Linked DNA regions of Caenorhabditis elegans. The protein of the gene in region 1 interacts with the protein of each later gene in a pairwise test. Each region holds a gene or a part of one and is shown on either strand. Other genes may lie near its edges.

Region 1 (11,548 bases):
GGGGAACACAAAATTTTGAGAATGCGTATCGCACAACATATTTGACGCGCAAAATATCTCGTAGCGGCGAAATGACTACTGTGGTGTCGATTTACGGGATCTCGATTTTCGAAATGAATTTATTTTATATGCAAAAAATACTATTAAAAGTATAGTTATCGATCCTTGAATTTTGCAAAAAAAAAAAATTATTCTGTCGCACAGAAAGTAGGGCGGAGCGTCCACTGTTTTTTTTTGTTGATTTTTTCAATAAAGTTTCGATTTTACTATTATTTTATTTTTCTCTTTATCCAAAAAAAAAAGAAAGAAAAAGACTAGAAACTTCGAGAAAAAAAACAGTGGAAAAGGGGCGGAGACAAACCCCGTGCGGCAGCTACGCTCCGCCCTACATTCTGTGCGACAGAATAATTTTTTTTTTTGCAAAATTCAAGAATCGATAACTATACTTTTAATAGTATTTTTTTTGCATATAAAATAAATTCATTTTCGAAAATCGAGATCCCGTAAATCGACACTACAGTAGTCATTTCGCCGCTACGAGATATTTTGCGCGTCAAACATGATGCACAATTTTGAATTTTGTGTTTCAGTAATAGAAAAATAGAAAAATAAAAACAAAAAACAAAAAAAAAAACAAAATAATCGATTACTAAAGCTTAATAGCAGCCGAATTCTTATCACTCTTCAATCTCTTCACAATCTTCTTCTTCTTCTTCGTCACCGCTCCATCCTTCTTCTCAGCAGCCACCGTCTCCTGAAGCTTCGCAAAGAAGTTCGAGCTCTTAATCTTATCCACCCCGCCGCCCTTCTCCTTCCCAGCCTTCCTCTCCTTCTTGGCCAGCTTCACCGCCTTCTGCTCTCCGAAAACTCGCTCCTCGCCAAACTTTTCCAGCATCGACCTCTGCTTAGCCTTCTTCTGCCGACGTTCTCGTGCCTTATCAGTCGCGTCTCTCTCATCCTTGCTCTTTTCAATCGCCTTCATCTTCTTCGAAATCTCCTCTGGAGCCATAAGCTGAGCCTCCGTTGAAGCTGTAATTCCGACTTCTTCCACACGTAGAGCAGCCATATTTGAGACCACTTTCACCTCCTCGCGAGCTTGATCCGGTTTATACTCGAAATGAGTTAGCGCATCAATTAGCCGGAAGAGATCTCCCATCTTCGATTTTATAGCTTCATGAGCTTCATTCGGCTTCGTGGCTCCTGCTGCTCCATCTGCAGAATTTCCAGTCGAATTTTGATATTCCTTCTCATAAACCTCAGCCAAGGAAGTTTTCTGATTCATTTGATTCTCGATGGCTTCAGTTTCGAATTTGGCGCCTTTCGCTTCGACTTTTTTCACTCGAATCACATCATCCCAGGCTTTATCACGAATTCGTTGCTTGATAAGTGACTCGAGGCGGTCTGGAAAAAAACTCTATTTTTGCCTATTTTATGGCTGAAATTAAAAAAAAAAAAAAAAAAACGGAATTTTTAAGCTAAAATCTCGAAAATTTCCAATTTTTCCATGTCATATCAGCTATTTTTTGCCTATTTTATATTTGAAATTTAGAAAAAAATAAAATTTTGCGCATCGCACAGAAAAAGAGGCAGTTTTCGTCTTAAAATTTGAAAAAAAAAACGGCATTTTTAAGCTAAAGCCTCGAAATTTGCGAAAAAAATACTATTTTTTGCATATTTTATGGTTGAAATTTTACGAGCAATCCGTCGTGAATCAGCATCGCACAGAAAAATAGGCGAAGCCCCTAATTTTGCAACCCTGCGGCACGGTTTTAATTTTTTTAAATCAATTTTTGAATTTAATTATGTTATTTTCTTTTTCGAATGAAAATGCTATTATGAGGATATTAAAATTAACACCGGTCAAAAAAGGAGGAAAAACCGTGCGGCAAGGTTGCGAAATTAGGCTCCGCCTCTTTTTCTGTGCGACGGTTTCAAATCTCAAATTTCGCCAATTTTTCCGTGTTACGGAGGCTCTCTTTGCCTATTTTATGGTTGAAATTTGGCGATTTCCATTCGTAAATTTTACAAAAAGCAGCATTGTCGCACAGAAAATAGGCGGAGCCTAATTTCGCAACCCTGTGGCACGGTTTTCATTTTTTAAATCAATTTTTGAATTTAATTGTTTTATTTTCGTTTTTCGAAAGAAAATAAAACAAGTAAAATCGAAACTTCATTGGAAAAAAACCAACAAAAAGAAAGAGGAAAAACCGTGCGGCAAGGTTGCGAAATTAGGCTCCGCCTCTTTTTCTGTGTTAATTTTAATACAATTTTAATAAATTTGTTTATAAAATTTTTGCAACTTTTCAAAAAACTAATTTCCTGCCGAAAAAATTGTTTTATTCAAAACTTTGAAAAGAAAAAAATCGTGATTTTTCAATTTTCGAACTCCCCGACCAATCAGCACCTTCAAACTCCGCCCACTCCATCTGATTGGGCCAAAAATGGGCGGAGCAAATCGCTGATTGGTCGCAGTTTCAAAAGTTGGATTTTTTCGATTTTTTTGATAAAAAATCGCAAAATGACAACTCCCCGACCAATCAGCACCTTCAAACTCCGCCCACTCCATCTGATTGGTCCAAAAATGGGCGGAGCTAATCGCTGATTGGTCGCAGTTTCAAAAGTTGGATTTTCCCGATTTTTTTTGATAAAAAATCGCAAAATGACAACTCCCCGACCAATCATCACCTTCAAACTCCGCCCACTCCATCTGATTGGTCCAAAAATGGGCTGAGCTAATCGCTGATTGGTCGCAGTTTCAAAAAGTGAGATTTTCCCGATTTTTTTCGCTTTTCCCATAGTTTTTCTTCTAAAATTTCCAATTTCCAGCCATCATCAGCGTACCTGTAAACTCTTCGGTAACCTCTGGAGCACGTTTTGCTCCATGATCAAAATCCACATGCTTCTCCAGCAGGGTATTCTGATCTCTCTGATCGGCGGCAACCTCTCCGGAGAGCTCCCACGATTTTGGAGCCAAATTCTCCTCCTCAAGCTTAGCGATTCGTTCCTTCATCTTGGACTGACGCTTGGCAAACGCCGATTCTTCCTTCGGCTCTTCGAGGTCGGCTCCGAGGAGCACTGGCTCATCCTCTGGGGGCTCTTCTTCATCATTAATGTCTTCTTGCTCCTCGTCTTCAACTTCTTCTTCTTCAGGTTCCTCATCCATTGCGAAACGAACGCGTTTTTTGTTCTTTCTGGAAGAACATTTTTGAATTGAATTTTTCGCTTTAAAAATTTATTAAAAAATAGTCCTAAATTCGGAAAAATCACAAAAAAGGCGATTTTTTAAATTTGGATTTTAAAATTTCAAATTCCCCCCAAAATGAAAACTCCCCGACCAATCAGCGCCTTCAAACTCCGCCCACACACCCTGATTGGTGCAAAAGTGGGCGGAGCAAATCGCTGATTGGTCGTAGTTTCAGAAAGTTGGATTTTTCCGAGTTTTGCGAAAAATTCGCAAAATTAGCATTTCGACCAATCAGCTCCTTCAAACTCCTCCCACACACCCTGATTGGTGCAAAAAAGGGCGGAACAAATCGCTGATTGGTCGCAGACGGAATTTGATCAAAATTGGAAAAATCACGTTTTTAAAAATCGATTTTTTCACTTTTGTTTGGATTCCCCCAAAATGAAAACTCCCCGGCCAATCAGTGTCGTCGAACTCCGCCCACTTCGTCTGATTGGTCCAGAGATGGGCGGAGCGAGTCGCTGATTGGTCGATGAGTTCTCATTTGGAGGGAATTCAAAACATCGCGTTTTGCAACTTTTTTCGCAATTTTTTCGGCGTTCCTAGAAAAAAGATTGAAAATTGGGATTTTTAAATTTTTTTCACTTATTTTCGGCAATTTTACAATTTTGTCATGTTGCACCATGTGCTTCCAACGATTTTCATTGAAAAATAGTGTCAAATTGTAGAAAATCACTAAATTTATCCGGAAAATTACATTTATTTCAGCTAGAAAATTCGAAAAATATTTTTTGATTTTTTCAGCTGAAATAAACGTGATTTTTCGGATAAATTTAGTGATTTTCTACATTTTTACAGTATTTTTGGAGAAAAACGAAAAAAAAAATCGCAAAATAATGAAAAATCCATCAATTTTGGCGAAAAAAAAGTGAAAAAAAAATTTCAAATTTCCAAAAATTTAGAAATTTCTAAATATTTTCGGAAATTGCTGAATTTCTACATTTTTTGAAAACTAAAAAACGCAGATTTTCAATATTTTGGCCGAATTTTTTTCAAAATGAGACCGCGACCAATCAGCGATTCGCTCCGCCCACTTTCCAACCAATCAGGTGGAGTGGGCGGAGTTGAAGACGCTGATTGGTTGGGGGATTTTCTCGTTTTTTTCTGTGGTTTTCCGTTTTTTTCTCCAATTCCTCCAAACTACAAACTACAAACCCATCATCAAGTGATAAATCAGCTTTATCTCCAGCCTTCCGTTTCTTATCTTTTTCAATTTTTTTCTTCTCTCCATTCATTTTTTCGGTTTCAGCAACTGTCTCACGAGATCCAAAAAAGTCCTCATACGTGTAGTCGGTTTTTCCGTCCCAGCTATCCTGAAATTATTATTTTTTTTTTTTTTTAATTGAAATTTTGAAAAAAACACACACACACACACATTTTCTTAGGGAATTTTCATCGAGATTAATATATTATGGCAGCGAGGCGGTTTTTGAAAACTGAGGTGCAATCGCGCTCCATCGCTAATTGGCCTATTGGGTCTCGTTTGGAACAAGAAAATATGAAGTTTCCAACAACAAAAAATTGTGCAAAACCACAATTTGCCGATTTGCCGGAACTTTTCAATTCTGGCAATTTGCCGATTTGCCCAAAATTTTCATTTTCGGCAAATTGGCGGAAATTTCACAATTCCGCCAATTTACCGGTTTGCCGGATATTTAACAATTCCGGCGATTTGTCGATATGCCGGAACTTTTCAATTCTGGCAATTTACGATTTACCGGACATTTTGCAATTCCGGCAATTTGCCGATTTGCTGGAAATTTCAATTCCGGCAATTTACCGGTTTGCCGGATATTTAACAATTCCGGCAATTTGACAATTTGCCGGAACTTTTCAATTCTGGCAATTTGCCGATTTGCCCAAAATTTTCATTTTCGGCAAATTGGCGGAAATTTCACAAATCAGGCAATATGCCGATTTGCTGGAAATTTTCAATTCCGGCAAGTTGCCAATTTGCCGGAAATTTTAAAATTCCGGCAATTTGTCGATTTGCTGGAAATTTCAATTCCGGCAATTTACCGGTTTGCCGGATATTTAACAATTCCGGCAACTTGACAATTTGCCGGAACTTTCCAATTCTGGCAATTTGCCGATTTGGCCAAAATTTTCATTTTCGGCAATTGCCAATTTGCTGGAAATTTCCAATTATGCCGATTTGCCGGAAATTATCGATTCCGGCAATTTGCCGATTTGCCGGAAATTATCGATTCCGGCAATTTACCAATTTGCCGAAAATTTAACAATTCCGGCAATACTTGTGTTGTGTTGGCGTTGGAGCGCGATTGCACTCTAATTTCGAAATTACGAATTCTGGCCGGGAAAAAGGGGGGCGGAGTTTGCAATTTCTTCGCGCACTTTTTGTGGAAAAAAGTGTGTATTTTTAAAATTGTTTTTGGGCACTTTTTGGCACTTTTCGGCTCATAAAAATCCAAATTTTGCAGATTTTCAGCCATCCAGGTACATACTTCATCCTCAAACATCATTTCCTCATCCTGAGCGGCCTTTTTGCCTCCAGCTCTCTCAGTTTTTTGCAAAAAATCGTGCATCTCGTCAAGATTGAAAAACTGATCGTCCACAATGGATTTCTTGAATTTTTTCGGTTGTTCTGTGGCTTTTTCCACCTCCTCTTTCTCTTCTCCGGCTTCTTCTTCTTCCATTTTCTTCAAATCAGCGTCCAACGTCTTCAGATCACTCTCGCTTAAATTAAAAAGATCGGCTTCATCCTCATCGTCAATCATTTCATCCTCGAGCTCTTCATCTTCCAGCTCTTCCTCATCATCATCGAGCTCCTCTTCGGAGCCGCCATCGGAGCCATCAGAACCATCTTCCGAACCTTCAGAATCCTGAATTTTCGCCGCCACCCGAATATGCGATTTTCCAATCAACTCGGAAAGAAATCCCTGAAATTCGGAGCATTTTCAAGCAATTTTGAGGAAAAAAAAAGTGAAAAAAAACTCCAAAAAATAGCCTGAAATTCAGAAAAAAAAACTCGATTTTTTTCAAAAATTTTCAAAAAAAGTTCAATATTTTTGGAAATTTAGAAATTTTTCGGAAATTGCTAAAAATTTCTAGATTTTTTGAAAATTGTGGAATTTTTAGAAATTTTTTAGGACATTTTTTTCGGGATTTTTAGAAATTTTTTTCAAAAATCCCGAAAATTTAGTTTGAAATTTAAAAACGCAATTTTTTTCAAACTTGTTTGAATTCCCTCCAAAATAAGAATTGCCCGACCAATCAGCGCCTTCAAACTCCGCCCACTTCATTTGATTGGTTCAAAAGTGGGCGGAGCGAATCGCTGATTGGTCGAAGACGGAATTTAACCAAAATTGAAAAATCACGTTTTAAAAATCGATTTTTTAAAATTTTGTTGAATTCCCTTTAAAATAAGGACTGCACGACCAATCAGCGTCTTTGAGCTCCGCCCACTTCATCTGATTGGTTCAAAAATGGACGGAGCGAATCGTTGATTGGTCGGAAACGGAATTTAACCAAAATTCGAAAAAAAAATCGATTTTTTTTCGTTTTTCCTCCGTTTTTTGTACTGAACAATCAGCACCTTCGAACTCCGCCCCTTTCCTCTTATTGGTTCAAAAGTGGGCGGTGCTAATCGCTGATTGGTCGTTCTTCATTTTGGAGGGAATTGGAGGGAATTTCGCCAAAATTGAAAAATAGAACTTTAAAAATCGATTTTTTCGATTTTCTTCTGTGTTTTTTCGGAATTTAAGATTATTTTAGGATTTTTCGAGCAAAATCCCGCGAATAAGCACCTTATATTTCTTATTAATTCCATCTAATTGCTTATTCTGATGCTTCAGATAACTCCAAACGACTTCTTCGTTTTTCGAAACAAATGGAAGTGGAAGATTGTCTTCTGAAGGTTCCAGTGATGTCGACCATTCGTAGACATTCGAAATAACATCGGTTATTTGGTCGGAAAATTTTGATCGACTGAAAAATCAACATTTTATTGATTTTTTAAATTTTTTTTCTATATTTTTTTCGATTAATTATGCCAACCTTTTGAAAAACTTTGTGAAATCCCCGATTTCCGGGATCAAATCCTCCTTTTTTGACTTTGATTTCGTCATTTTTGCAGCGAATTACCTTAAAAATCGATAAATTCCCAAAAAAAAGTTTTACAACTTAAAACCACATAAAATAACGTTAAAAACACGAGAAATCTCAATTTTTACACGAAAATACTGGAAAAATCGTCAAAATAAGTGTAAAAACCAAAAAATTGGTTCAAAATTTCACCGAGAAATGGGAAAACGAGACAGCGGGGGTAAGTGAGAGGGCGAGAGACGACAAGAGTGCCAGAGAGGGGAGAAAAACGAATAATCCCGTTCATATTTGTACTTAGGGCATGGAAAACCTATAAAAGTGTCGGAAAATTGTAGAAAAAAGTGGAAAAATCAGCAGTTTTAAGGTTTTTTGGATTTTTTCTATGTATTGACGGCTTGGCTCCGATTTGAGAGTATTATTTTGGGATTTTCACAGATTTTAGGATTCAATTTAAGTAATTTCAAATTTTTATTAATTTAATCTTGAAAAAATAGCCTTTATCCGCAAGATTTTCGATCAATAAATGTGAAAAAATGGATTAAAAAAGGCGAAAAAAGCCAGAAGTTGAAAAGTGCAAACGCGCCCTGTTGATAAAACAGACAGTATAAAAATAGCGGGAAGTTCAAATTGAAGAATTTCCTTTAAAATGTGAATTTTTCTGAGAAAATTTAGTTTTTAACACAAAATAAAGCGAAATTTTATGAAATTTGTGTTCCCAGCGACTGAAAATATACCGAAATTTAGGATTAAACATGTAATAAACGAGCAAAATTGCCGAAAATTTCCATTTTCGACAAATTGCCGATTTGCCGTTTGCGAAAGTTTTTAAAGAGACTTTTAAAAAGACGGATCCACTTAAAACAAATAATGTTGAAATTCTGAAATTTCCAAAAATGTCAAAACCACAATTTTCTGCAATTGTCGTTTTTTCGGCAAATCGGCAAAATGCAATTTTTAATTCCGGGCAATTTGCGATTTGCCCGAAATTTTAATTTTCGGCAATTGCCAATTTGCCGGAAATTTTCAATTCTGGCAATGTGCCGATTTGCCGGAAATTTTAATTTTCGGAAATTGCCAATTGGCTGGAAATTTTCAACTCCGCCAATTTACCGGAAATTTTCAATTCCGGCAATTTGGCGATTCGCCGATATGCCGGAAAATTTTCAATTCCGGCAGTTTGCCAATTTGGCGGAAATTTTCAATTCCGGCGATTTGCCGATTTGCCAATTTTCCGGAAATTTTCAATTCCGGCAATTTGGCGATTCACCGATATGCCGGAAAATTTTCAATTCCGGCAATTTGCCAATTTAGCGGAAATTTTCAATTGCGGCAATTTGCCGATTTGCCAATTTTCCGGAAATTTTCAATTCCGGCAATTTGCCGATTTGTCAACTTGCCCAAATTTTTCATTTTCAGCAATTGCCGATTTGATGGAAATTTTCAATCCTGGCAATTTGCCGATTTGCCCGAAATTTTCATTTCCGGCAATTGCTGATTTGGTGAAAATTTCTCCAACTCTTCCAAGCTTCAACTTTTTTTTGCAGGAACATTGTTCATCTTCCTTTTCATGTTCGTGTCTTATATTGTTCTGTCCAGAGAGAGAGAGAGTGTCAACACGAAACTGTGTGCCCTGTTTGTATGTCACTATCCACCATCCACTCTATGAAAAAGAAGAAGAAGAAGTCAGGAGTCAAATTACTTTTTCTTGTTTCTCATATCTCAATTCAATTGTCAATTGTCCTGTTGAATATGCTATTGTTATTTGACAAGAAAAACGTGGATATGGTCAAAAATTCACGGATGTGTCTGGCTTCCCTCAGAAATTGAAATGGAAGAGTTTTTGCCGAACTAGGCCAGGCCATATCTGGGGGTAGATTTACGGCGCGTTGCGTGTCGCGTCGCGGCTCGATTGTAAAACTAAATGCACTTGTCCGTGTGGAGTACACGACTTTCCCATGTCCGGAGAGCGATTGTCAATGGAGCGCGAAAAAAATTCAATGAGGACGGCACGGTAGCACAGAAACTAGATGGATTGGTTCATGATACTCAGTCTGAAAACTATATTGGCTGCTATCTCGAAAACTAACCCCAAATTTGATTTTGCGATGCATATGAAAAATGATCGCAAAAAAATTCTCGATCTTTTCTATTAAGAAATTTTTTGATTGAAAATTTCCTAACCGGTCAAATTTGGGTTCGTTCGGTAGAGCGCGTTTGCACTCATCTAGCTGTTGTACCAAGGCCAGAACACCATGAGCATACCGCAAGGATTCTTAATTTTGCAAAATTCATGCCGCTGCATACTAGCATAGTAGCACGTAGTACCAGACTGTCCCATTACGGCTTGATCTACAAAAAATGCGGGAATTTTTTGTTGCCCAAAAAATGTGGCGTCAACACGTTATTAACCATGTGAAATCAGTTGTGAACTCTGTGTATCAACTCCCGCATTTTTTGTAGATCTACGCGGATTAAACCGAAAATGAGACACTCTGACACCAAGCCGACTACCGGAGCAACCGCTGGCGGGCCCGCAGGCCCTCTAGTCTATCGTTAACTTAAATCCTAAATAATTTGGTCCCCAAAACTCGAAAACTCTTTCTCAGATATGATGGAAGGAATTAGAGTATGTGTGTGTGTGTGTGTGTGTGTATGGGACAGTGAAAGGAGAGGCAAAGTTTGCCCCCTATTGTTTCCTCAATATACACTGCCTATTTGCAAAAGGGGAGAGAGGGCCGGGGGGTTTTTGAGCACAGAGAGAGAGAGAGAGAGACGCAGTACTGGTGAGCACCGGAGCACGGTACGCGGGGTGCTCAACTGGTTCGCCGGATTTCTCGGACAGTCACGTGGATCCACGAAGGGTTCAGTCAAAGAGCACCTTGAAATTATGGTAATATTCAAATATATTCAGATTTTAAGGAAAAAACAAACCAAAAACCAGTGATTTTGGATAGAACAACTCTCACCACTACACCAACCACTTCCAGTGTTTACCCAATTGATTTACCCTTCTCAACGTTCTCAATATTTACAACAACTCACCTCAAAGACTGTACTTTTCCTCTTCTTCTCGATCCCTTACCTTCCATCCACTCCCCAATTTTCCCTTGACATCCCCCCTGACTATCTTCTTTTATGAGCAACCTTGAGAATTATGATTCATTGTGAGTAGGACCCCCCACGTACTATTATAACCCACTATTTTCTCAGAGAGACAGAGAGGAAGTGTACCTACTTTTTGGAACCAACCTGTCCATTTTAATGAGAAGTCGGTGTGGGTGACCCTGTGTTGTGCAGAAATTAATTTTAGGATCAATTGTTGTTACATATTATATTGAAGTATTAGATTGTAATAATAAAATATTTTGGAATTTTTTTTTGGAAGTCGTCGATGATTTAGATTTTTCGAAAAATGGAGCAAATTCACTAGTCAGTTTTCCCTATTTTTAGACTCGAAATTGAAAAATTACCACAATTTTTTTCACGTTATGTTATGATATTTAGTCGTTTTATCGTTTTATAAAGGGAAATCAAAATTCTATGAATGCGTATTGCGCATCATATTTGACGCGCAAAATATCTCGTAGCGAAAAGAAAACTACAGTAATTCTGTAAATGACTACTGTAGTCGATTTACGGGCTCAATTTTCAAAATAAAAATTAAATAATTTATCCATGAATAGAATATTAAAATTAAGCAAGCAATACAGTGCTTCAGATTTCTCGAAAAAAAAATTCCCGAAATTGCTCAACTTTAACGGCTTATAGTCTTAAATTTTACCAAAAAATGTTATACTGTGAAAATGTAGAGAAACATTTTGTACATATTTTGTCAGTTGGCAATTTTTTGATAAATCCAAAGAGAACCGAGATATAGCCTGGCAAAGTAGAGGAATTGTCGAAATTTTCAGATGTACACATTATAATAATTTGATAACTCTTATAAATAGTTCCCTTGGACTTGTGAAAAAAAAATATTCTGAAAAAAAAAACACTTTCGCCAAATTTCAGAAAGCTTGGACTCGGCAAATTCGTCTAAAATAATTTAAGTTTCCAAACAAAATCCACGTGGTCAGACACGTGTCAGAAGTTCTCATTTCGGCTTGATCTACGTAGATCTACAAAAAATGCGGAAGAAGAGACGCAGAGTTCTCCGCTGATTTTGCATGGTTCAGAACAAATTCCCGCATTTTTTGTAGATCAAACCGTGATGGGACAGCCTGGCACCATGTAAAAGCA
Region 2 (10,840 bases), on another chromosome or scaffold:
ACTGTTCCATGGAATGTAGATTCTCCCAACATGATCGTTCCACGCCCAACCAGCTTTTCCATGTGAAACCTTATTCATAATAGCACTTATGGTTATCGTAAGAGGAGTCAACTTTCTAATTGGATAGATCTGCAAAAAAAACAAATTAGTATTAATTTTACTCTAGTTTAAATTACCGAGCCCATATCTTCAGGATTACTTCCCATCAGCTTAGACGTCTTGACATCGGAAACACGACGCCCATCAAAGGTTATAAAACGACCTGGTCTCATCCAACTTTCATACAACGTAGGTGCAAATTCAACATTTTGGCAAGTGGGAGAAGTCACAGATATCACGTAATTGTCAGAGATATCATAGATAACACCCGATTGAGCTTGAACAAATTCAACTGATTGATGATCCGATTGTCGTTGAACGGCGGTTGGAGGCCCCAATTTCTTCATATGTGAGGTATTTTGAATGTCCGTAGGAGTAGGTGGTACGCTTGTCGTCTTTCTAGTATCATCATAAATAGCCCATGCTACAAACTTGCAGCCGTGAGCTTCTTCTTGACGGAAAATGTATATGAGATAAGGTTTGTCGATATATGCTCCTTGTCCGTACCAACACGCTCCATTCGTCGTTCTTGTTGAAAAAGGAACAAAAACTTTCGCAGTTCTTCCATGAATTGAAACATGCCCAAATTTTAATTGTTCATCCAAATAAGAAAGACTTCCATAAACTTGTAAAAGATCAGTTGGTTTAATTGCTGTCAATGCACTATAACGACCATTTTGAAGTTGAGCAGAAAATATTAAATGATCACCATTCTGTAAGTTATTTTCTAAAGTTCTTTGAAGCCACGATTCGAAGAACTTACCTCTGGTTCATAATATTTCTTTTCATAATTCAACCGTAAAGCACTATCAGGTAAGTCAACTAGACGATTATGTTGTTTTTCCAAAATCACACAAGATCTACCGGTTTTCCGAACATGTCCATCTCCTAAAATCTTCGACATCATTCGACTATCGAGTGCAATGCTGAAATAATATTAATGAAATTACGTTTAAATCAATTTGATTTGAGGTTTAAAGCGGAAAGAATAAGAGAAAAAAAGAGAAGAAAATTGGAAAATCGGTGAGGGAGAAGGAAAGTGAGAGCGATGGTTATGCAAGCTGTGATAAAGAGAAAAATGTGAGCTCGACGGATGCACAAAGGACCGTCTGCCAGTCTTATAAGAAAAAATAACATGAGCAGATAAAAAAGTGCAAAGATTGGGGGAGCATTGGGGAACAGTACTCGTCCGCCCATTACGTGAAGCCTCGGTAACGAGCAGCTGAAATTACAGTGACACTCTGATTCTAAGAAATTCAGGAAATATAATATTGCGAAAATGCCACAGAAACAGGTGAATTTCTAAGCTGAAAACCAGTGCTTGTCTCAGTTAGTCACTGCAGCTCACCGAGCATCGGAGATGTTTGCTTCAACACTCTGATAATTATAGGTTTATATCTAAGCGAGCTTTTTGGGGAAACGAAAGACACTGAGCCGACTGAATGGAATGTAAAATGAGAAAATGTAGAATGAGGCGGAGCTGCGAGCTGATATGTGTTGGTGGGGAGAATGACTGTTGCCAAGACAATCAAATCTCCAGAGGGGAAATGAATCTATCATAATCAATGAGGAGCCATGTGATAACAATGTATGAAGATAATAATGAAGAAGTAATGTGAATATGGGAAATGACAATAATAAGATAATAGAAGAAAGATATTCGTCGGGTTTCAAACCGATATAAGGCAATAAAATAATTATTTTCAATAAAATTGAAAACTCAACTTCATTTTGGTAGAAAGGGCGATTTTAGGAACAAAAAAAATCAACAACGAAGGTTAACAGGATAAATGAAAAATGAATAAATCAAAGAAAACAAGATATTAACGATCAAAAAAACCAGGAAAGTCCAGCTGAATGCAGTGGCAACGGAGAAATTGATGACACCTGAAAATTAAATTGGTTGAAAAGGTAATGCAATGTTGAGAAAATTGATAAAAATTAATTTTCAACCGTTGATATCAGAAGTTTTGGATGATAGGCTCTTTTTTTTTTCATAGAAGACACAAAATAAACAAAGGTCATCTATAATTTCTGATGAACGAACATTTTTAGAATTCACACGAGGACTATAACAAAACGATCGATTGTAAAGAAAATAGAAAATGCATTTTTTAATCAGTTCAAAGCCAAGATAATTCAATTTAGAAAAAAAAAAATTAATAATCAAACATGCTGCAGACCACTTTATATCATTGAATAGAAATAGAGAAATATGAAAAACGTCTGCTTATCAATATGTGATATGTGACTACAATTTTCGTCGTAGGCATTTTCCGAGAGCTATGAAACTTTCAGTGAAAAATTGTATGAAAGAAGAAGAGGCTGGAGGCAATAGAATTGATGAATCATAGGAAGACAATCAGAAGAAAGCTTATCATCGAACACGCAAACACACGCAGGCACACACACATATGTGAACGCCATCAATTATTAAATTTTAGCCTAAACTTGATTGAAATAGATCAGTTATTTTCTTTAGCATTCTAGGAAAAAGTAATTTAGTTACGGGTATTCGCCTTTCTGACATGAAACGAGCTATACGAATTATTGAACAAATCCGAAGAGGCTTGGTTTTCGAGAATGACACGTCACAATTACTTTAAATTCTCATCAATGTGTAACACACATCAGACTCAAATCTCAAATTAAAATATTCATTCAGACAGACTAGTCAACACCTTTTCGAATTTGTTGTATTTAAAAAGATTCAAAAATAGAGAAACAGTCTGAAATCACAGTTTTATAGTACACTTTATTGCTCTTATGAAATTATGAACAGCTCGTAGACAATACGAGGTCAGCTGAACTAAAATGGAAAGTAGCAGGTGGCTAGGGCTCCAGTCGTTCATGGGGACGGGGGACACGAATAAAAAATAGGATACTCGCTCTCACACACACACACACGGTGGTGCCAGACCTCGCGCACATATTGCCGGGGTCGAAAAGAGAGGAGCGAAATGACCGATGGAGGAAGAATAAGAAGAAGGCTATCCTCTTTTGATGAATATAGCCCCAAAGTGACCGGGCACACAAAAACACATTCAACCGACTAAAAGGGCAAACGAGAGGAATAGGAAAAGGTTAAACATACGTACCATATGATAAGTAAATTCAGGTTTTTCATTGTTTTTATATGTTGATAGGATATTTATGTTGAAAGTTAATATTCACATTGTTTTCGGTTTCATATGCTAATTATTTTCATGTGTAAAAGAGTGAAGCTCATTTGCGCAGTGGAGAGTGAAGAGTATGTCGCGTGATAAATATGACATGGCACGATATCAGAATGAGATGTCTGCATTACATTCAACTCACTTTTTTTAAGCGATAAGCTTAGTCGACTTGATTGTAGATGCACGAATTCCGCTCGTTTCTCCAGAATATTTCTGCATTTCGCGACGAACGTTTCCAATCTGAGACTTGACGCGCTTCTCGATGGCGTGGACCTTGCGACGATTTTTAGTCTGAAATTAGAAATTATTGAACTGGGAGACTTCAAAAAAAAAAACACACAACGCAGCTAATTGGGAGTTGCAGTAAAAATGAGCATAGTATACGTAACCAAGGATGAAACTCTCAAGTGTCGTCGCCTAGACGTTGAATTGTCTATGTCACAGTGAGTCTATTTTATTTCTTTCAAGAAAAATTAAGATTAAACAAAATCGTATTACTTATCTGTCTGAATAAGTCATGGTTATATGCTTCATTTGTGCTCGGTTTTCTTTTTGAGTTAAAATATGCTTCAGATAATTCATTACACTACGCTTTTTAAAAAACTTTTTTTGAATTCAGTAGCAAGCAGGTGTGATACTGAATTAATTATTTTCTTATCACAACTCTCGAAAAAGAATCTTAAAAAAATAGAAACCAAATAAGCAAGTTGAGATTTCGGCAGCCAATTACTCGCTGTGGTGGGGAGCATAGACGCCGTCTCGACGTATTGGATTTTTGGGTTGGAGCAAAAAATAGAGAGTTATGTAGTGTATTCATATTTTGATCTCACATGAAACTCGGCTTTGTGAGACTTTTTTGTCAAACAAGAATTGTTATTTTTCAAATATATTCATGTATTCGTGAAAGCATTGTAACAACATTTTCATGCACAAGAAATGTCGACCCTACTCATCGAATTATTTTTCATACACTAATTGTTTATGATACAAATATTTTTGGTATTAAAAATAAGATAAAAAATCGAAAATAAAGTTACCTTGCTGGTCTTGGCCTTCTTTTTCCCACGTCGTTCTGCGTATTCACGGTTTTTGGCAACTTTGTCAGAGGCCTTTCTTTTTTCATCTGCATCCATTGGTGTGAAGTGTGGATGAATTGATGTGTTATCAGAAGATGTGATTGTTGAAAGATTCTGAAAAAAGTAAATCCAGATCTTAATCCAATTCAGCTATGTTTCCTGATTTTTATTGACAAAAGAATGTACAATTTTTTTAAATTTTACAAACTTTAAAAATCTTTAAAATATACGGCAAACAAAAAATGTATTTAAATTCGAATAATGTTTTCCCTAAACTTACATTGTTCATAATTGCTCCAAAATTCTTCTTTGTAAGTTGAACATCTCCAACCTTCGAAATCAATTCTTCCATATTTTCTGGCTCCGACTCCGCCCATTTCTTGAGCTCATCCAGATGATCCGAATTCGAATGCAAAAAATCTTCACACTCGGTGATTTTCTGAATTTAAAAGTTTGTATTTGAAATTTAAATCAATCGGAATACCTTTTCAAGTCGTTTCAGCGACTCCACTACAGGATGGATGTCAACAAGTGGATCGTCGAGTTTTTCATTGGAAAACTGTTTGGCTCTGAGATTCAACAGGAATGCTGTGTTCATGAGGTATCTGAAAGATAAATCATAAAAATGGAAATTTAGGAAAAGAAAACATACGATGCATATGTCTGGGCAACGTAGACTAACTGCGATCGCAATGCGCATTTTGGAATCTGCTTGATTACATTTTCAAGAGGCTTCACGACGAGATCGAAGATGCGTTTCTGAAAAGTATAAAAAATTAAAATTAAACCGAAAAAAGGGGAAAATTGAACTGTTAGAATGGTGATGAAAAGAAACAAGTGAAAAGGAAGAAGAGAAAGATAACAACAAGAGAAAATGTTATCAGGTGAAAAGGAAACTGGTCACGAGCTCTCCGGAAACAGCTGTATAACAATTCTTAGCCGCTAATTAGAATTGAAAGTAGCAATATATAATTGAAAAACAGAAAAAGCTGGCGGTCGCTGCCGATATATGTCCAACATCGTTTGGTGTGAATTACAAACCGACCAGGTGAACAGAAACGAGGAAAACAAGACAAGTTATGAGAATAATTAGAATGTGATGTTTGAGGATGAGAACATACGAAACTAACTCGAGCAGTTCAGGCATCGAATTCTTCAGACACCAGAAGGGCACTTTGCTTTCGCTTTTTAATGTTCACACATAACGGCGTCTGATGTTGGATGATTTAAATCGTTTCAATTGTGTGTTTTGTCCGTTGAGAATCATCGTTTAAAGCGAATCGTCCAGCATCCTTAGGCTATGATGGCAACCCGTTTTTGACGTAATCAGAGACGATTGCGCGATTTGAGACCGCTTATCTACTAGCCATCGGTGGTGTTTAGTTGAAAGAATGAAGAGAACAGATGAAGTGAAAACGGGAAGATACTGAAAAAGAGAGAACACGAAAAATTAACCTTGGAAACGATACGAATCAGCATTTGATGTTCACAAGTGATAGCTTCAAAATTTAATAAACTTTCGAGAATTGGCATTAGGAAGAAATAGGAAATTATCACAAGAGGAAGAAGCTGCAACTGATACCGGGAAAAAAGTGAAGAGACATTTTAAAAAATTAGAACTTACTCTTGCTTCAAATTGTTCCAGAGTTTTCACGATTTTTTTGTTCTTTGTCCTTGCATTCTCCTCATTGAATTCTAAAACTGTTTCCACCTAAAACTTTTCATTATTTTAATTATTCTTTCAATTCGTTTACCTCGACAGTTTCTTCTTTTTCTTCCTCATCTTCATCGTCGTCGTCAAATAAATCAGCAATGGCAGCTGTCGATTTGTCGATTTGTTTTTGACGAGTCAACGCATCTTCCTCTTCGAGTTGAGCATCTTCCATTTCTTCTTCACGCATTCCGCCCCAATCTTTATCCACGAATCCAGTTCCATAGAAATCTTTCCTCTTTTTACCCCATTTGTTGTCCGTGATATCTTAAATAAATTACGTTAATCAGGTAATTCAGAAAGAAAACTACCATTAACATCGTCATCATCAAAGTCGGATCCATCGTCTTCACTGCTATCCGATGCTTCTGCTTCAACGTTTAACACCTCTTCTGGACGATTGAATGTTTTTCTTTTGTGAATAGCACCCTTTTCGACTTTTCTGTCTTTGTTATGAAAAGTATTGATTTCATCAATGAGATCATCATTTTCGTCTTCGTATGAGATATGAGCAGATCTGAAAATATATTTAATGATTATTTATAAATTGTGAAAAACATTCAACTTACGCTTTCCCCTTCCTTGATGACATAGTTCTAGTATCTGAAATCCAAAAATTAGCAATTTATAGCATTTTCAACAGAGAAACGGATTGCACCGACCGAAAATAAACCAAATTCTGATTTTCAAATCAATGAATAACTCTAATAAAGTTAATTATGCTTTAATCGTGTGATAAACTTCGATAAATTAATTTTTAAATGAATAGAACGAACTTTTACAAGATAAATTATTCAAAAATTGAATTTTCGAGTTGAATTTGAGAAAAGACGGGGGAAAATTATTAGCGGCAGGGCTTTGTGGGCGGGGTTTCTGATTGCAAACTACCCGCGCACTTTATTATTGTTCTATACACCCATTTAATGCTCACCTTTTTTTGTTTTGAATAGAACGAATATCACTTTTTTCTTGAATATGTCGAATTTTATTGACGAATTTGTATTTCTTGGTTATAAAACTTATGAACGATTAGTTCAGTTGATCCCATTATTCTCGGAAAAACCTGACACATTTCGAAAATACTTATTTCGAATACTTACAGAAAACGTTTTTCTGGTTTTAAAAACTAACTCATTTATATGTTTTCTTTTTCAGAATGACTGAATACGACAAGTTTGCCGAGCAGCTCCGTCATCCGGATAACCCAATCGTTTTTCTAGAAGTTACCGCCGGTGGTGCACCAATCGGAACTATTGTTGTAAGTTGACGACCATTCCAGTTTTAATTTGCTATATATTTCATAATTTTTCAGATCGAGTTATTTGCTGATGTAACACCGAGAACTGCTGAAAACTTTCGTCAGTTCTGTACAGGAGAATACAAAAAAGATGGTGTCCCAAACGGATACAAAAACTGCACATTTCATCGTGTGATCAAGGACTTTATGATTCAGGGTGGCGACTTCTGCAACGTAAGTTTAACAATTTTAAATTTTAAAGTTATATCATTTTTTCAGGGCGATGGAACCGGTTTGATGAGCATCTATGGTTCAAAGTTCCGTGACGAGAATTTCGAGCTGAAGCACATAGGACCAGGAATGCTTTCGATGGCTAACGCTGGCTCTGACACAAATGGTTGTCAGTTTTTTATCACTTGCGCAAAAACCGATTTCCTTGACAACAAACATGTAGTTTTTGGTAATTTTTTTTTATTTCAAATTCACGGATAAGTTGATTTCTGTAGTACAAAGAAAGAAGAATACGGATTGTGATTGTGATAAATGTCTCCAACGTCATTAGTTCTCCATCCCAATCCCCTGAAAGCAGTGTTTTAAAAAGAAAATCGCAAATTTTAATGATACCCACTGATAATGTTGGTGATACATTGATGGTGCCATAGTTGTTGTTTTATACTGATTATATGGGTTGAACATGCCAGCGTTAGCATACAATAAAGGAAGTAATGTTTGCAATGAAACGCATTTTAAAAAGAAAAAAATTAGAACGAGAATGCGTGTCATCGTCTAGCTAAAACAACTAGATTTCCTTATATCCTTATCACCTTTTATACGAGATAAAGCTAGTTAATGACGCCATTGATATGTTTGATATTTCTGACCGATCGTTTATTGCAGGACGAGTACTCGATGGAATGCTGACGGTTCGGAAAATCGAAAATGTTCCAACTGGAGCCAATAACAAGCCGAAACTTCCGATTGTTGTTGTTCAATGTGGCCAACTCTAATTTTCACTGTATTGTTATTTTGATCTCGTTTTGTTATATTCACAATAAACTATTAATTACTTCTGATTATATGGGTTGAAAAATGAAATGAAAAGACAGTATAAGTGACTGTTAGTATATCTGGTTCAGTTTTAAAAGCGAAGTAAAGAAAATAAACCTTCAAAATCGAATACTTTCAGAATAAATGCTCGAAACCAACGTGGATCAGAAGTCGTTCAAATTCAAGATCGTGTTGCTCGGCGAAGGATGTGTTGGTAAATCATCACTTGTGCTTCGATTCGTTGAAAATAAATTCAGCTGCAAACACCTGTCGACGATTCAGGTAATAATTTAGAAAAAGGTTGCGATAGATAATCCAAAAAAATATTTCTGGGTTTTTCTTCATTCAGTTATCAAGATTTTGATATGCATATAAAATATTTTCCAATTGTTCTTCATATTGCAGGCAAGCTTCCAAAACAAAACTGTGAATGTAGAAGACTGCCAAGCTGACCTACACATCTGGGATACCGCTGGACAGGAGAAATACCACGCACTCGGTCCAATCTACTATCGAGGAAGCAATGGCGTGCTACTGGTTTTCGATATCACTGATAGAAAGTCATTTGAAAAGGTATCAAAATATTTTAAAGAGCACCACTGAAATCATTTTTTTAAGGTTAAGAACTGGGTTCTCGAAATAAAAACATGCCTGGGAAATACTGCAGAGATTCTGATAGTCGGGAACAAGATTGATCTTGAAGAAGAACGGCAGGTCACTCGACAGGATGCGGAAGCATACGCAGAATCAGAAGGGGCATTGTATATGGAGACTTCTGCTCAGGACAATGTTGGAATCTCTGATGCTTTTGAATCTTTAACTGCGAGTAAGTTGGCCTAAACGTTTTGCATGGCTTGGGTATTGCCTAAATAAAAAATACCAAAAATTTCAGAAATGATCGAACATTCGCGTACTCGTTCGACAGAACCACCATCTACGAATCGATCCATCCGATTAATTGACAACGACGAAGCAGAAAGGAGTAAAAAGTGCTGTCGCTGATTAAAAGAGCTTAATGAATGCTTGAACACTTCCCCCCTTATACCGGTCACCTGTATTATTTTGTTCATTTTTCCCGATTCTTTTCCTCTACGTCACTTTCCTAGTCGCACTCCTGTCAAACTTTACGCACAATTCATACAATAATAAAATCATATTTCTATCTTAATGGTTCAATTTTTTTTTTTTAATTTTTTTTTTTAATCACTACTGTAGCGCCTGTCGATTTACGAGCTCGAATTTCGAAATGAATTTTTTTAACGTATAGTGACTGCTATACTCCATTTTCCTTCGATTCTTCATATTATTTTCTCATTTTTTGCCTATTTTAATATTCTACGATTCATTTCGAGAATCGATCCCGTAAATCGACACAGGTGCTACCGTAGGCATTTAAAGAATTACTGTAGGTTTCGCTACGTGATATTTTGGGCGTCAAATATGTTGCACAATACGCGTTCTCAGAATTTAGTGCTACTGCGGTAGCTACCGTAATACTGTAGAGATCTAGCGTGATCACCATCAGAATACACAATATTTTTAAAAATAAAAGATCACAGAACAGTGAGCTGATGATAGAAAAAAAATGGATATGTAATACTTGATCATTTATTTTTTCCCTTTAAACTTTCACGCAAATGTTGGCAGGTGTTATTATGTTGAAGCTTGCTCCATTTTCAGTCTCAAAATTTTCAACTTCCTATTCCTGGAAAGATTACTTTCGAGACATTGTTCTGAATAATGTATAATTCCACAACTATATCATTCAAATGCGGTAGCAACTACAATTTGATATCTCAGCTTTTAATATATTTTGTGAATGCCTCCTATCTTGGAGTTGGAGTTTTCCTACATATCTTGATATTAAGAGTTTTATTATTCAAAGAAAGGCAGATATTCCGCAATAACTCGTTTTTTCAAATATATGTGATGGATTCGATTGCAGTGAGTTTCTGAAAGCAGAAGCACGAGTTAATCCATATCTTTCCAGAGCACATTTCTTCTTCTAACTGATATGTTTTTCGTTCGATTATTCATGTATGTACCTCCCCTTTGTGCTATAATTAGTCCTTTTTTCTGGGATCCTTCCATAACAACAAAGTTTGTGTACGTTTCTATGAGTCATGCAAGATTTTCAAAATCAGTTGCTCAAAAAAAAAAGGCGCGCGCCTTTAAAGTCGTAGAAGTGGAAAAAAAAATGCACTGTAACTGAGTGTCTAGTTTCTCAAGAATAATTTAATTATATTTAAACATAATTTAAACTTATGGTTGATTCCGATTGCCAGAATATTAGTTGTTATGTTACCTTTTATTGGTACTTGGAATGTCATAATCTCAAGAGTTTTTGTTTTCCCGTCTGATGGTGGATTTGCGATGAATTATATCAGAAATGTAGAATGGGTCAGTTGAATAAGAATAAAACTTCTATCAGTTTTTATTCAAGTTTTGAATTTTTTAAACCCACTCACTGTTTGAGTTGCATAAATTCCACGAA

Evidence for each region.
Region 2: the proteins of Y75B8A.7 (region 1) and T01B7.5 interact in a two-hybrid assay, tested with the Caenorhabditis elegans proteins (one large-scale study listed by BioGRID).

The regions. Positions count from the first base shown.
Region 1 is NC_003281.10:12,148,699-12,160,246, reverse strand, and holds the start of Y75B8A.7 (U3 small nucleolar ribonucleoprotein MPP10), read right to left. Parts: upstream 7,349-11,548; 5' UTR 7,333-7,348; coding exon 7,262-7,332; intron 7,193-7,261; coding exon 7,012-7,192; intron 6,145-7,011; coding exon 5,710-6,144; intron 4,558-5,709; coding exon 4,400-4,557; intron 3,192-4,399; coding exon 2,842-3,191; intron 1,402-2,841; coding exon 650-1,401; 3' UTR 1-649.
Region 2 is NC_003280.10:8,712,659-8,723,498, reverse strand, and holds T01B7.5 (Sas10 C-terminal domain-containing protein), read right to left. Parts: upstream 6,666-10,840; 5' UTR 6,655-6,665; coding exon 6,632-6,654; intron 6,580-6,631; coding exon 6,374-6,579; intron 6,330-6,373; coding exon 6,106-6,329; exon of another isoform or gene 6,063-6,105; coding exon 5,976-6,062; intron 5,111-5,975; coding exon 5,004-5,110; intron 4,957-5,003; coding exon 4,836-4,956; intron 4,791-4,835; coding exon 4,632-4,790; intron 4,466-4,631; coding exon 4,313-4,465; intron 3,567-4,312; coding exon 3,423-3,566; 3' UTR 3,418-3,422; intron 1,987-3,417; 3' UTR 1,814-1,986; downstream 1-1,813. Other genes in the region: trcs-2 (TRansport of membrane to Cell Surface), read right to left, coding at 1-129, 177-812, 863-1,003; T01B7.13 (uncharacterized protein), read right to left, coding at 7,782-7,878, 7,928-8,082; cyn-11 (Peptidyl-prolyl cis-trans isomerase 11), read left to right, coding at 7,219-7,320, 7,375-7,533, 7,579-7,759, 8,197-8,306; Ras-related protein Rab-21, read left to right, coding at 8,491-8,628, 8,752-8,919, 8,965-9,172, 9,239-9,348.